2 linked regions of the Caenorhabditis elegans genome follow. The protein of the gene in region 1 interacts with the protein of each later gene in a biochemical or structural test. Each region holds a gene or a part of one and is shown on either strand. Other genes may lie near its edges. The genes, in order: mps-4 and exp-2.

Region 1 (3,432 bases):
TCTCAGACCAATCCGATTGTTTGTTTTGGAGATATGAATAGGCAGGTTGGTCACATATCGTTTTTTAAGGATCACAGACTCGCCACGAAAAACATTCAATCATAAACTTGAAGAGTATTCATAAAGTGAAATAGCACACTTTTTGTTTTCAGAAATCACAACTGAAACGTGGCGGTGGAGCATTGTGCATTCAAAATAGAAATCTTTGGCAATTATATCATTCTTTTGTTATTCAAGTTGAACCGTGTAAATCTTCTTCTCATTTTTCCATGTTCCAAACAATTGCCACTCTCCTTTCCGCAGCCGGCCTGGTATCAAAGATTTGAAAAGAAAAATGGCCAAAAAAAGTTGGGCGAAAAATTCCAAACTATTAAGGCCAAGCTTCTTCAAAGTACTCAGTTATCTATATTTCAGAATGTACTCCTCTGAAAATTGAACCTCTTTTTGTTGCTTTAACATAAATTAATTGCGGGTGAATTATAACACTTCTGTTTGACAACAAAACTAACAAATTTTAATTTCTAAAAACTTCATAGTCAGAAAAAAAATTAAAAAATAACTTAAAATAATTATCAAAATCTTCTAGTCTGTTCTCTGCCAAAAATTTGTTCTCGGGTAATAGACACGATGCTTTGGATCTGAAAATTAGTATTTTTTATAAATACCAAGTAATCATGTGTAGTCAGAGTATTCCATAGTTATTTAGCGTCTGAAACATGTGGTAACCTCATTTTTTGGCAGTAGGACGTCTCAGGCCCGTAAATTAACACGGAGTTCGGTAGAGCGTCGCCAACTTTCGCGGTAACGTAATATAGAAAATAAGAAAACAGCGACGTCATAATTCCTAAAAAATGAGGCTGATATGTTTTCCAAAGCCCAGACCAACACTCTATATATAAAATCAAATATATAAAGCTTACCAGGCCGAGAAGAATTCAACAAAACTTCAATCCAAATAAGTAAATATACTAGACAAAGGAACACAAAAGTCATGATGATGACGAGTAGAAAATCAAAGTATTTGGTAGGATAGGAGATGCTGAAATTTGTTTTTTAAATCTTAACAAATAAGAAAAAGAAAAATTACCGATTACATGAGGAGCTCCATTGAAGAAATTCTTCAATTAGGTATTTATAATTGAACGAAGAACTGGCGTAGTTGTTGATATTTTCTTTTGGAAAAGTCATGGTTTTTCAGAAAAGAATATCAAAAAGTAAATTTTATAAAATATTAATTTCAAAATTGTGCACATAACGTGACAATACATAATCCACATTCTCTTTTACAATATGCACATGCTCCTTGTTGCTCTTTTCCTTCTTTATGTATTTTATCCGGAATCGTCACGATTGTTGGCTGAACTGTAATTGGAGCAATTTTCTGAGATGGCAGTTTTGGTTTCTGTGGTTTTGGTGGCGGCGAAGAAGCTGGAAGTTCGGGAGAAGGAAGTGCAAATTTCACTTTCTTTTCAGGTTCCAGATCTTCTTTTGTTGTTTCGGTAGTTGGTTTTCGAACCGGAGATGGTGTTCTTCTATAATTGTCCCCAATTGGACCTCGATCGAAATCAGTTAGAGTTCCTAGTTCAGAGGCTAAAAAGTTAAAAATAAACAAGTTGAAATACAAGACCCATGCTTCTGAGATTGTGGCCGACATATTAAAAGAAATCGATCATACATTTTGGACAACACCAACAAGCATCGGAATTTCTCATCACACAAAATAAATCACCATCTCCATCATCATGAATCTCGAAAACGTGGTTAATCGAGAGTCCATTTGAGAATAACCTGGAAAAGACAGAGTTAATGAACTCATATCATATTAATTCAACTTGCCACTTTATGCACATTTCTTGCATTTCTCCAATTTTCAGCTGATCACCCTTTCTTCCGGGTAACACAATTGCTGTAACTGCTCGGAGCTCTTTTTCATTCATTTGAATAACTCGGCGATGATACATTCTCAAATTAAAATATGAGTTTAAGATCTGATTGAGCTTCAGGAGAGGTTTATTTAATAAAACTCACGATGCAAGACAAAATATTCCAACAGGGTATGTTTTTTTTTTCAGAAAAACCAAAAATTTTAGAAAAAGAAGCACAATGAAAATTTGAATTTTGGCGTCCGGTTATTTTTTTGTTTTTATTTACAATCTCAGTGAGAGTGAGAGAGATTGTAAACACAAAACAAAAAAAACCGGACGTTGCGTGCGTCAGATTTTTCGAACGTCCGGTGTTCCAGCCCTATAGGCTAATTAAAACCTATCAAAAATTCTCAAAAAAAAATTAGTTCAAAACCAAAATTTATTTGTTTTAAAAATGTAAAATCTCTTTTTTAATTACTAGAATAAAATACATACATATATTTAGATTTAGAAATATACATCACATTTCTAAAAAACAATTTTTTTTACTCAACAATTACGAAAAACGTCGAATGGAAATCATAGGCAAAGTTGAAAACATTTTCAGTTTGACCTATAAATCTATAAATCTCCTACCGCTAAGTTACCAAAAAGTAAAAAAAAGAATAGAAAAATCAATAAAACCTATGAGACATTCTTGTGTCAAACAATTGAAAAAAGTTTCGAATGACTCTATCGCCTCAATTCTGTGATTCATAAAAAGTTCATTCATATTCACTGGTGAATATCGAAATACCGACACAAGGCCTTCCCCCTCCTCTCCACAAAAAAACTAGTTTTGTAGAGTATCGAAACATTCTCCTAAAAAAGAGAGTGAAATATGTTACTTTTAAAAATAGTTTATTCTGTTTAAATTCAAATTGAGAATGACATCACTAATTGCTTGAAGGTGCACAGTAGAAATCGGTGTCACATGCTGCTTCTTGACACAGCCCTCTGGAAGAATTTTATACTTAATTTTGGAGGATTTTTATGTTTTTTGTTCAAATTTGTTATACGTTATTCCAAAATATTCAAAAAAGTTATTCCAAAAACCCATGCAAAAGTTTATTATAATTTTTATCTAAAACCTTGAATGATACGGAGAAAAAAGAGAGCAATGGTTATTATAAAGTATTCTTTGTTCAAGTTTCTTAAATTGGGTATCCTTTTTTGGACGGACAAGTTAGAAAGATTTCTCATAAATGAATTCTCACCTTCCATATTCACTTGTACAACTAACAGAGTTCCATCTGAAATCATTTTTCGAGTCTTTCAATAATTTCGCCATCACGCAATCTCCTTGTTTTACATCTGGATGTCCAGTAGCCCAATTTGAATATGGATTATTTGTCACTCCATTCACCCAAATAAACTTTTTCGTAGCTTGATCATAGTAATATCCAATGTCATAGTTTGGATTTTCTTGATTTTCAGGGTACCAGTTATCCATGTAGAATTGATTGAGGAATGTGTTTTTGAGCTCGGAATTTACATAAACTAAATGTCCATTTCCAGTGTGTTCTTT
Region 2 (5,142 bases), on another chromosome or scaffold:
TGCTTCTACACTCGTTTTCGACAAAGGAGAGACTGTGAAACTGAGGCTCTCATTCTCAGGTTAGTTAAAGAATTTTTTGGGAAAGTCGGGTTACGAATCGAACAAAGTGATAATATCAAACTTTTAATAATATTTTTATTAAAATCATTCCTTCGGACGAGAGTGATATGTTAGCTAACAACAAAAATCCAGGTGGGTCTTGGGAGAGGAAATGGCCTAATGTCTTTTTCGAGTTTTTTTTCTAGCGTGTTCTTCTCTGTGTTTTCACATGGGGAAATGGGGAAATGGATGGAGTGTGTAAAGCGGCTTTGAATCAAAAAATATGCCAAGAGAAATTGGAATCTTCTTCTTTTTTACTTTATAGTCAGATGCCGTCAAGACTTTTTGAAAAAAGTTGAAGAGAGTGAGAGAGTGGGGGAGAGATAAAGTAGGAGAAAGTGCACTGGAGGAGTTTCCCGTTGAAATTGGATTGGTTTTCTTTTTCAATAATATTTTTAGATTCGGAAATAATGATAGTAACCATAATAGAAAATTTAGAAAAAATATAAATTTATGAAAATAAAATAACAAAACCAATATACTCACTTAAGTTTGATAAAACATATAGAACTTCGGGGGAAACATTTACTCGTAACATTAATCATTGAAATAATTTGTATACTAGTCATGGGCATTGAGCATGGCTTCCAACGCGAGTTGCTCGCTTTGCTGGTCATTTTTCTGTTGCTCCGCTTGTTGTTCATCTTGAGCCACTTTGATGAAGTTGTCGACAATGATAGTAATGGGCAGAGCAAGTACAAGTACTCCGCACATAATTGCTGCTGATGCAATGATTTTCCCCACTGAAATTAAATTCAATTAGAACCCACAAATAGGGGAAAGAACTCACTAGTAGTTGCGGGAACAGCATCTCCATATCCTACAGTTGTCATTGTTACTATACACCACCAATATGCCGCCGGAATACTTGTGAACGGTGTTCCTTCCTCGTCTTTTTCCAAGAAATAAATCATGGTTGAAAAGAATACAACTCCAGTCAGAAGTACAATTGTCATCATTTGTAGTTGTTTTTGTGATCTTTGAAGTGTCATTCCGAATGTTTGGAGTCCCGATGAGAACCTTCCCAATTTGATAATTCTGATAACTCGAAGAACTCGAAGAATCCGAACAACAAGGAAAGCCCATCGTAGATCTCTTAATTTCCTGTCATCAACTCCGCATAATGTCAGAAGCAATTCCAAGTAGAATGGAACAATAGCAAGTAAATCGACAAGGTTCAGCGGTTTCAGCGCAAATCTTAATTTCCGTGGTGCGGCGAAAAACCGGAGGCAATATTCGACAGTGAAAAATGCAATGCATATCCGTTCCGTGAACACAAACGCCGGATGTTCCACTCTCATTTGCTCAACTTTTTGAACAACCGTTACAGTTCCATTCGGTAACACTACTGTTTCATTATGAGGAGGCATAAGATGAGTAACCTGAATATTTGAATGCTTAACCAAATTATTAGAAAGTTAAATACTTACTTGAAAATCTGGAATAGTTCCAAAAGAAAGTCCCATAACTGAAATTGCTACAAAAAGAGTCGATGACAACTCAAATGCCTTTGCTTGCATTGAAGAGCCAGGCCGTTCGAGAAAAGTCCACATCCTCCTCCGTAACTTTCCGCACATCAACTTATCGAAGGTGGTATCATCTACCTTAAAACAAATTTTTCTTTAATTTGTGATATACAGATGATTTACTTTTTCTTCTTCTTTCTCTTCTTCCCGTTTTTGGGGGATAATATCGGCGCAACAAGATCCAACATGTTGATGGGATATCCTCCAAAAGTCGAGCTCACTTAGAAACGAAGCTGGACAAATCTAAAATTTTAAAAAAGTAGATATTTTCCACTTCACTTCCTAATATTCACCTCAGATGGTCGATGCACCACTCCTGTTGCATAGTATTGAAACACAGCTTCAAAGGAAGTAGGTGATCGTTGGAAATAGTAAGCATCATCAGCGGAAATATAGGCATCCGCAACCTAAATAAAAGAGAAATAGATTGATGATATGATGAGATTATCCCCCAGTTTTTAGCTCACTTTTAATCTAGCTGTGTGTGTGAGTTGGACAAACCGCGAGAGAAAAGTAGTTGTGTCTGCGCGGAGAATCGCGTCGATTAGAATCATAAAGCTTGTGCCTCCAATATTTAGCTTCAAAAACTGTGGGCTTCCGTTATCCGCTGAACTGACTTGTTGGAAACAATCGGATGCTCCAGATCGAAAAATATCGTCTAGAATCTGATAGTTTCGACGTTCCGCCACTGTCATTGCATCAGTCCGACGCAGCGGGACTAGCCGCTTTTTGTGCTGCTGTGCGGCCCTGAAAATTGGAGGATTAGAATTTTAGAACAAAAGATCAAAGTGCATCACACCCGTTGATATCTTGGTCTAGAGTTCAGTTTTAGTGACAGGGAAGGAAAAGCTAATATATCAAACATCACAACATAAGCATCATGCATGAAAAGAGAAACACGATCGATACAATCCGATCTTTAGTTAGATTGATAGTCATGGCATTAAAAATCACAACTTACCCGCTGATCATGTTTCCGGTTACCCTGTAATTATGGAATTTGAGTTGCTCCGTCGAGCCAGGGACCGTAAATGTTGCTGCAGAATTTCGATGCGCTAGAACCGCTTGCGATATTGCAATCGCCATTTTGCAACTTCAGTTTTAGCGCGTGAAGTGTTTTTTTTTCAGTAGTTTTCAGCAGTGTTCAGAGTAGGTTTAGGAGAAGTAGAAGAGAGGTGTCATCACACGTGTGTGTGCGTGACAAGATGAGAGGTGTCAAGGATGATGAGAATTGGACTGACACATTTAAAGTGAAGCTATTTTTTTTTTCCACTAAGATAAGAAAAGGAAGAAGAGAAAACAGAACTAATAGATAGATTGAGAAGATGTGATGAGGATGCGTGACGTGAATCTATGATGATGTTAGAAGCTTCCGGTATGCTTTGATAGAAAAACTTACTGTCCATTATATGCCAGCGCCGAGTAAGAAATACTTGCACATGCCATTGTGGTATCTAATACTTCAGACGTCCGACCCCAGGAACACCAGTTGATAAATAACAGGTGATAAGAAAAGGTCCTTCTAGTTTTTCTTTTTTATGAGCACTGGCAGCTGGGATGGGGCTCCACTGAGGGCAGGTGTGAAGATATGAAGGATCGGCACAGAGAGTGAGAATGAGAGAGGATTGACAGCAGGTGGCCGAATTGACGCCTTGCTTCTCTTTTTCTTCGTCGCGTGGGAAACCGCGCTGGGCGCTCAAAGCTTACCGGAGGGAGCACGGTGCTTATAGAGGGAAAAGATATGCAGGTGAGGTAGTGAGAGAATGAGATAGATACGACGGAATTCGTCTGTTTCTCTTCAATTCACTGCTACATATATATGTGTAGTATTAGCAACCAAATATGAGCGAGTTGTCGATGAAGACGGCGGCAAAGACGACGAAGACGAAAAGCAACCAAATTTGTGGTTTTGGTCTCGGGTGCCCCGTTTTTCGGCATCTATTTTATCTACTTACTGGAAGGGAGGAAAAGCAACATGATTGATTTACGGTGATGACTCTCATGACTCTCTAGACTGGAATTTCTAGAATATAAAATGAATCGGGATGAACATTCAACACGCTAGCAATTGAATCAAGAAACAAAGTGGAGCTTCGAAAGATATCTGCCTTCTTTCATCCAATCAATTGAAAAACCAAAAAACATATGTTTTCAATTGCGGTGAAAAATTCTCATATTCTCTTATTCTCCACATCGATGGAACACTATAAAAATCGAGTAAAATTGAGATTCATGTATGACAAATTTTGTTGCTCACGTAGGATTTTAGGAGCGAAAGTAAACACAGTGATAGGGGGCCGAAGAGGATGATCTGTCGGTAAGGTACACTTGTAGGTTTACATTGTGAAAATGATAGGTATTGTTTGCCAGAGACAATGTGCGGAAAAGAATGTAAGAGTGATAAAAAAGAGTATAGAATTGGCTCTCTAATTTGATATGGTCTGACCTACACTAAATCTTCGTATTCAATTTTTTCAGAAAATTATTTGCTACCAAAAAATAATATTGAGTATGACCTACCTGGCCTGAGCCATTTTCATTCTCACAACCGAACGCCAGAACAATAATCTAAAAGTCGAATTCTTCTCTGGCAGTTGGTTTTTTGTTTTGCTTTTTGCATATGGACCCGTTTAGCACCTCTTCTCCGAGTCTCCATCCCTGTGTAACCTCAAGCCTACTCGATTATAAATTTTCTTCCACTAGACCGCTTCTAAATATTTCTCACTAGCAAAGATCGAAAAAGAGAACTAACGACAAAAAAAAAAGAGTGTGAGGGTGGAAATTCGAGCAAAATGTCAAAATATATCTGGCTCCACGGGTTCTGGAGGAATCATTTGACCACTGTGAGTACCACTTGAGAATTGTTTCGTTTACTTGCCCAGAGCCACAAGAATTTAGTCTAAAAATGCAAAAACCTATTCAATTCTCGAATTGAAAAAGTTCCCGTGATCTTTGTTCCCTCGTTGAGACGGTCGAGGATAGAAAACGAGAAAAAAACACAACACGGGAGGAGAAGCTTGAGATGAACTCTGCCAACATAATCATTTGAGCATACAACAAATGAGGAGCTCATTCGGTCTTTTTTGCTTGCAAGTAACTAATTCTTTATGAAACTTTATAACGAAACAAAACTTACACAGAGAAAATTGAATCCATTCAGTGGATCAGCATGTTAAAAAAAAAGTTTAGCTCAGATTAACTGAATGGTTCACCAAGGGTTATTAGGATATAAGAAACTAGAAGAAACAGAACATAGTGCAGCTGAAGGCATTTGGAATGGGGGGTCGCCCCTCGCAGAAAAACGGAAAAGAATGAGGATTTCATATGGATGAACGGCTACCAATTGTTGCTAACAAGCTCTTAACTCGTAATCCACATCACATTTTCTCCAAAAAGTAGACTGGGTCAGAATAGAAATCGGGAAGAAAACGTTGCAAGATATGTGTGCAAGATACAGATAGCCAATGAGCAAATAATGTTGTAGTTAATTTTAGATTAAGGGTGAAAGTTACCTATG

What was found.
Region 2: of the proteins of mps-4 (region 1) and exp-2, one has a biochemical effect on the other in vitro, tested with the Caenorhabditis elegans proteins (one study listed by BioGRID).

Annotation. Positions count from the first base shown.
Region 1 is NC_003281.10:8,270,208-8,273,639, forward strand, and holds mps-4 (MinK-related peptide, potassium channel accessory subunit protein 4), read right to left. Parts: upstream 1,238-3,432; 5' UTR 1,189-1,237; coding exon 1,088-1,188; intron 1,040-1,087; coding exon 921-1,039; intron 639-920; coding exon 583-638; 3' UTR 513-582; downstream 1-512. Other genes in the region: crn-7 (Cell-death-related nuclease 7), read left to right, coding at 1-45, 153-326; F09G8.10 (uncharacterized protein), read right to left, coding at 1,238-1,590, 1,676-1,788, 1,837-1,961; clec-160 (C-type lectin domain-containing protein 160), read right to left, coding at 2,801-2,861, 3,122-3,432.
Region 2 is NC_003283.11:6,138,939-6,144,080, reverse strand, and holds exp-2 (BTB domain-containing protein), read right to left. Parts: upstream 3,072-5,142; coding exon 3,025-3,071; intron 2,971-3,024; exon of another isoform or gene 2,755-2,970; intron 2,611-2,754; coding exon 2,587-2,610; intron 2,373-2,586; coding exon 2,093-2,372; intron 2,033-2,092; coding exon 1,919-2,032; intron 1,869-1,918; coding exon 1,749-1,868; intron 1,704-1,748; coding exon 1,530-1,703; intron 1,482-1,529; coding exon 890-1,481; intron 843-889; coding exon 661-842; downstream 1-660. Other genes in the region: ttn-1 (Titin homolog), read left to right, coding at 1-59.